2 linked regions of the Xenopus tropicalis genome follow. The protein of the gene in region 2 interacts with the protein of the main gene of each other region in a pairwise test. Links are inferred from orthologs where the notes say so. Each region holds a gene or a part of one and is shown on either strand. Other genes may lie near its edges.

What was found. The genes of interacting proteins can lie anywhere in the genome.
Region 1: the proteins of ppp1cb (region 2) and ppp1r3b interact in a two-hybrid assay, tested with the Homo sapiens proteins (2 studies listed by BioGRID and IntAct). The link is inferred for Xenopus tropicalis from reciprocal best matches to the Homo sapiens genes PPP1CB and PPP1R3B.

What each region holds. Positions count from the first base shown.
Region 1 is NC_030677.2:97,987,835-97,991,709, forward strand, and holds the end of ppp1r3b (protein phosphatase 1 regulatory subunit 3B), read left to right. Parts: intron 1-643; coding exon of another isoform or gene 644-671; coding exon 672-1,514; 3' UTR 1,515-3,369; downstream 3,370-3,875. UniProt on the Homo sapiens protein: Acts as a glycogen-targeting subunit for phosphatase PP1. Facilitates interaction of the PP1 with enzymes of the glycogen metabolism and regulates its activity.
Region 2 is NC_030681.2:5,962,292-5,965,948, reverse strand, and holds part of ppp1cb (serine/threonine-protein phosphatase PP1-beta catalytic subunit), read right to left. Parts: intron 2,398-3,657; coding exon 2,167-2,397; intron 1,328-2,166; coding exon 1,223-1,327; intron 1-1,222. UniProt on the Homo sapiens protein: Protein phosphatase that associates with over 200 regulatory proteins to form highly specific holoenzymes which dephosphorylate hundreds of biological targets.

The sequences.
Region 1 (3,875 bases), on a different chromosome or scaffold from region 2:
TTTCTTTTGAAGAGGTGACGGATACTGCCTTCTAATTGGTTAATATAGGTGATGAGAACTATAGCAAACTTATAGCACTGTGCCTCGCATAAACCCCATAGTGTAGATATCTGGGTCATAAACAAATATTTCTTAAAGCAGGACTGAATGAGCAACGCAACACTAAATAGGAAGCAAGACCCTGCTCTTCATGGAATACAGTTCACTTTTAATGGGTTAGCAACTTTCAATTGGATTGTTTTAAATAGTTTTTGAATTACTGGCATTCTTTTGACACTTTCCCACTTTCAAATGGGGATCACTGACCCCAGCAGTCAAAAAAAAAACTTGCAGCTGCTTTTTTACTCTTTATTTCTTATCTTTCTATTTAGTCCCTCACCTTATATTCTTGGCTCTTCCTGGTTGCTAAGATTACCAAACTTACTCTTGAAAGCAGCCAATAAAAAACAAATTTATTTAAGTACCACAGATAAGAAATGAAGAATTGCACACTCTCATGCTAAATGTTAGTAAGTTAGTGTTAAGGTGAACAACCCATTTAAAGTTTGCTTGTAATGTTATGGAACTAAAGTTAAGCAACAAAGTGAGATCAGACTGCTTTTCTCTCAATGTATATCTGATGTGTTTAATTTTTTATTTTTAGTGTTCTGGACTTTTTTCCTCATAAGACAATGGCGGTAGACATCGCCATGAAGTTTTACTTGCGTTCCCCGCCATTGAGACGAGACCGTGTTGAATGCAGGATTGCCCGAAAGTCTAATGAACCCTTGAGACCGTGCATTCAGACAACTAATAAAACATTGCTGAGTGAACTGAGCAACCAAGAAAATAAAGTTAAGAAGCGGGTTTCATTTGCAGACAGTCGAGGCCTTGCACTTACCATGGTGAAAGTATATTCTGATTTTGATGATGAACTGGAAATTCCTTTTAATATATCAGAATTAATTGATAACATAGTCAACCTGACAACTGTGGAGAAGGAACGCTTTTTCTTGGACTTTGTGCAACCTTCTGCTGATTACTTGGACTTCAGAAACCGATTGCAAGCAGAAAGTGTGTGTCTAGAAAACTGCATGCTCAAAGACAAAGCTCTTGTTGGTACTGTAAAGGTTAAGAATCTTGCCTTCCAAAAGTCTGTGAAGATAAGAATGACCTGTGATAGTTGGCAAACTTACAAAGACTATGACTGTCTGTATGTTAAGGACACATACGCTGGTTCAGATAAAGACACTTTCTCATTTGATGTCAGCTTGCCAGAGGGTATCCAATCCAGTGCAAGCATAGAATTTGCTGTGTGTTTTGAATGCGAAGGAAGAATTTTTTGGGATAGTAATAAAGGTTTAAACTACAGAATTGTTAGACAGGATCATAGGATTCCCTCTGACTTTGAAAGTCGGCATTATGATCCTGTATGCTTGTCTGTTGATCAGTATGGGAGTCCTAGGTGCTCTTATGGCATTTTCCCAGAATTACAGACCTACTCTGGATTTGATAAACTAGGGCCTTATTATTAAAAATTGCATTAATAAAGAAAATTATTGGAGGAGACCGCCAAAAGTTTGTGGTGGTGCCAATCCTAATAAGGTAAAGTTGGGATTTGATGTAAAATATGTCCTTGTTGGGACTGGTAATGCACAATGAACTGAGAACCTATACTAGGTTATAATGCTGTCTTGTATCTAGCTTTCCTTTTTAAGGGATGCGTTTGGTGTCCTAATACTTAAATCCAAAGTAGCACCTTGCACCAAAGTAATGATGTGGTGATGCCAGGAAAAGTGATAACCTACAGTGCTGCTAGCCTTTTCCTTCCTATTGCTGCTACCAATCCACTGTTACTTTAATAGTATTGTCTTCCTCTGTGTTGCAGTTGGAAGCATTTTCATGTTCCTAGGATTTGAGAGATTTATGCCACATTTGACCACACCAAAACGCTATCCACGTCTCTTGTTTTTAAAATGTTTCGCTCTTCTCAGGTGAACGGATGTGATGGGCGTCATGGTGTAAATGTTTTTTGAATTTTTATTTCACTGCTTCACGTGCACAAATTTTTGTACCAGTTGAGTATCCACTGGCATGCCTCTTTAGATTTGGTACTGTACTGCAGCAATGTTATAAGTATTAAGTGTCTTGATATATAAAGGGCTGCACTCTAACCAGAAGGTCTTAATGTTGTCCAGAAGTGCATGTCCTGACCACCTCTAGAAAGCTAAATGCAAATATTTCCTATTCTTTCTGTCATTTGATCTCTGTGCCTTCAAGGATTTTTCTCCTCGTCGGATGGGTTTTAATCTTTGCATTTTGTTGGGTTCTTTAGTAGAAGTCTGCACTCTCTCCCCCCTCCCCCCTTCCTTTTTCCCTACACAAAGAAACAAATGCAGGTGTCCTTCCTCCCTCTGATTTCCCCCTCCCCTCCAAATGCAATTGCCCCTTATGTTCCTTTGGTTTCCTCTGGTGCTTTAATCATATAAATGGGTTTGTGTGTTTATCAAAACCCAGTTTCAGAAGTACAAGGGAATCTACCGATGGAATTGGCTACTAAAGCCATGATATGTTGTATAATTGTGACCATAGTAATTTCTTTCTGAAACTGAAGCATTCTAACTTTGGTCCCTGTTGTGAGTTAATGTGCACCCTTTATGGAAAAGATAGCCAGACTGTTTTTTTACATAAATGTTCAGGTTGGATTCTTGCTTTCAGATATATCTTCTACAATTGTTCTATATGGAACTGTGTGGTTTGCCATAGGGCATGACATTTGTGCACTTTAAACCATATTGTCATGTCTGTGTCATAAACAGCAATGGCATTTTATCTAAATTACGTAAAACTTTGGGTTTACTGGTAAACAAAAATAAGTTCCATTATGAACTTATTCTAAAAGGATAGGGTTAAGATATGCATTCATAATTGGGATGTTTCCAGCACTGCTGTGTGTGGTGCATTATATTTCTCCATGACTCTTTTGGCACATGTGAATTGCCATGGAACAGAACCAGCTGTGGTTGTTTTAATGAATATCTTGATCTGCAAATGAAAATATTGATAAGTCTTCACTACTGACCAAGAATGTAGAATCTAGACTGTTAGAATCAGAAAAGACTGATTCATTACCTGTTCCCAAACTATGCATTTCTGTGAATGTATAGAGAAAATGTCTTTCTATCCCTTTCCTTATTTTGTGCCTAGAAGTGCCTTGTTTAAATGTCGTTTTTTGTTTTTGCATGTTTGCATTTTTAAGACATATACATTTTGTACACAAGTGTTGTAATATTGATGCACTTTATAATCACAAGTGTGAACATTTCAAAATTTTTTTTTTTTTGTTTTTTTTTTTTTAGAAATATTTTAAAGTGAAATGTAATAAAGGTAGAGCATTTAACATGAACACTAGTTTGCTTTTTTTCTTGAATTGACTTGGTGTATGTATGTTTTGAGCAACTTTGACAGTATTTCTATTGTTAATCTTTCATATTTCACACACTAAAAAAAATAAATGCTTACACTAAGGCAGTACTATGAGTAATTTAACTTTGCACTCATCATGATATGCCTTGCAGATAGGGGAAGGCACCTGGCCAGTATTTCACCAGTATTCAGCAGCAATTAATTTGCCGGTAAATTTGTAATTACCTGTGCTTCCAGCCGGCCCTGAAATGCCACTTCCAAAACTGAATATTTGCTGGATTGGCTCTGGTCCATGCCCCTCACTGATCAAGGTTTGATTTGTATCACTAATTGGGTAATAGTTATCCTTAGGTCACCTTATAGTTACTCAGTAATTCAGGTTTGAATTGCATTTCTTGGCAGGGAGTGTTCTTGTCAAATCACTGGTTACCTAGATCTGTGGGAGAAAGACCAACACCCATTTTTAAAGA
Region 2 (3,657 bases):
TAAATCGGAGGTAAAACACTTAAATCGCAAAATGTAAAAAATGCTCAAATATTTGTAAGGCGGCATTTTGCACAATTACTCAATTTAAGTGGTTTAAACAGGTTGTGTAATTTATACAACCTGCTACGGGTTCAGAATCTGTGCATCTGTCATTGCCCTAAAAGGCCACATAAGGTAAGATCGGAGCCTCTGGATAAGCCTGTGAGCTTGAGGGTCAGTTATGAGATCTGAAATAAGGGGATATTTGCTCACACAGTATATGAGGCAAAGGTTATATAAGCACAGCCTAAAGATGGCCATACACGGGGCAATTTTAGCTGCCGATTTGGCAGCTTACCTGCCCATGTATGGGCACCACTAACAGGCCTCCCCGACATCTGGCCTGAAATTGGGCAAATCTCTATGGGGCAGGTTTGATTTTTCCGTTGGATCGGGGACAGCATTGGCTCATTGATGCAGTCACTGAACCAACAATGCCTATTCCCACTATTTTAACTCAATCGTTAGGCCCTAGAGTCAAAAGATCGAATAAAAGTGGCCATACACGGGCCGATTCTAGCTGCCGATATCGGTCCCTTACACCAATTTGGCAGCTTATACCCGTGTATGGGCACTACCGACGGGCCTGCCCAACAGATATCTGGCCTGAAATTGGCCAGATATCAATCGGGCGGGTTTGAAAATGTAGTCGGAACGGACTGCGCTTATACCCGCCATTCTAATTCGATGGTTTGGCTCCAGGGCCAAACAAACGAATTAGGCCAATATCACCCACCCATAGGTGGGGATATTGGGAGAAGATTTGCTTGCTCAGTGACCGTGCCAAGTGAGCGGATCATGCAGTTTATAGCCACCTTTAGAAAAAACACTGCTTAACACTATGCAAGGCTCAAAAGAAACAAAGTCTAGCCTGGATGTTACCTATATTTATGATGCAGGGCACAGGGTGGTAGTACTGGTACCATTACTAAATAACACGGCTGACCAGTACAAAGCCATCAGGTTACAGCCTGACTCTCCGGCACAGACACATATTATAGAGCCTACAGCTAAACACGATGGAATTAGGACAAGTATTTGGCTGTAGGCAACATCCAGCTATACCGACAGTGAATAACTGCCCCGAGGAATCTAACAGATTTCTAGCAATATTTATAAGATACATATACATGACATATATGTCACAAAAGGGCCCTGCCAGTCAGTTACAAAGATGGCGTACCTCCATGGCAACAGAAAATCTTTTCATCCACGATGGCAGCGATAGGCAGGCAATTGAAGCAGTCTGTAAATGTCTTCCACAGTTTAATGTTAAACCTCCGTTTGCCTAGAGAATGGGAAAAGCAAAGGAAGGAGTTGAGCTTCACACTTCAAGGAATGGTAAACATGATATAAAGAAAGAAAAAACTATAAATACATCACACCCCTGCCACAAAATGATCTCATGTTTTTTTATTTCTAAATGACACTGTTACACAACAAATAATCAATTCCCTCTGCCATTTAACCTTTTATTCTTGAACCAACAAATGTATTTGTAGCTGTAATATTGGTGTGTAGGCGCCATCTGCTGCTGGGGGGGGGGGGGGGGGGAGGATATCACTCCAACTTGCAGCGCAGCAGTAAAGTGTGCCTGAGTCTGAGCTTTCAGCCAGCACTACACATTAGAACTGCTTTCAGCTAACCTACTGTTTCTCCTACTCCCATGTAACTGGAGGAGTCCCAAGCCGGACTTGGATTTCTTACTATTGAGTGCTATTCTGATACCTACTGGGAGCTGATATTTTGCTCCCTTCCCATTGTTCTGCTGATCGGCTGCTGGTGGTGAGGGGGGGGGGATATCACTCCAACTTGCAGCGCAGCAGTAAAGTGTGACTGAAGCTCATTGCAGCACAGAAAATACAAACAGCAAAACAAGGTTATTCAAAGCAAACTAAACCAAGTTCCTTTTAAAGTACAACTACTGTACAGTTGCACTGAGATTTGACCAAGTAAACTGGATTATAAAAATTAGAATTGGTGTGAGCTATATGTGAAAAGAGACGGTACAGCTGACCACTAAAATCTGTAGGAGGGGGTCCTCATTATCATATCACCAACAAACATCCCACAATGGCTACGCAGTCGTTGGCACTGTCCAGGGAGCCCAGTGTGGGACACACTCACATTCATCGTAGAACCCGTAGATCCGGTTGATGCTCGCACACTCATGGTTCCCTCTGAGCAGGAAGAAATTTTCTGGGTATTTGATTTTATATGCCAGCAGCAGGCAGATGGTTTCCAGTGACTGCTTCCCTCTGTCCACATAATCCCCCAGGAAGAGGTAATTGGCTTCTGGCGGAAAGCCCCCGTATTCAAACAGCCGCAGTAAATCCGTGTACTGTCCGTGGATATCACCTGGAGATGGGAAGGGAAAGGGAAAGGCTTGGTTATACACAGCTGGAACCAATACAGGTATCAGAGCGCTGCAGGTCCAGCACTACACATTAGAACTGCTTTCAGCTAACCTATTGTTTCTCCTACTCCCATGTAACTGGAGGAGTCCCAAGCCGGACTTGGATTTCTTACTATTGAGTGCTATTCTGATACCTACTGGGAGCTGCTATCTTGCTCCCTTCCCATTGTTCTGCTGATCGGCTGCTGGGGGTGAGGGGGGGGGGATATCACTCCAACTTGCAGCGCAGCAGTAAAGTGTGCCTGAGTCTGAGCTTTCAGCCAGCGCTACACATTAGAACTGCTTTCAGCTAACCTATTGTTTCTCCTACTCCCATGTAACTGGAGGAATCCCAAGGCGGACTTGGATTTCTTACTATTGAGTGCTATTCTGATACCTACTGGGAGCTGCTATCTTGCTCCCTTCCCATTGTTCTACTGATCGGCTGCTGGGGGTCAGGGTGGGGGATATCACCCCAACTTGCAGCACAGCAGGTCTATCAGAGCACAGGTCACATGGCTGTGGCACCCTCGGAAATGAAGAATATGGCTAGCCCCATGGGAAAAACAGATTACAATGCAGGATTCTGCTGGAGAATGTCTATTAACTGATGGGTTGTGAAAATATTTTGTTTTCCTGTGACAGTATTGCTTTAAGGCCCTGGAAGAGTGCACTTAATTGTATCTGCATGGAATCTACAAGCCAGGCACCACCCATACACATGAAACCTGTGAGCCTGTGCCAGGGAGAGCCAACTGACACCCTGCAGGACAGAGATCACACACTACTGGTACAGACTCAGCAGTCACATGAGCCAGGGATATGTATGACACAGTGACATGGCTGGCCCCTCCCATCTCTAGTGTTTGAGGCAATTATATAATAGCACAGGGCTCAGCACTGCCATTTGGCCGATTGTTTATTGACTGACGCCATGCCAGCGTGTTGATTTAGGATTCTGAAAAAATAGGCACGAGTGCAAATGTTTCACAGGAAAAATGATTTTCATAAGGACAGAAAGCGGCTGTGTCACCAGCGCAGGGCAATGGGGTAGGGGGCAGATCAGAGCTGTAGGGATGGTTAAATGATTCCCTTTTCTCTGTAATAATAAAACAGTACCTGTACTTGATCCCAACTAAGATATAATTACCCCTTATTGGGGCAGAACAGCCCTATTGGGTTTATTTAATGGTTAAATGATTCCCTTTTCTCTGTAATAATAA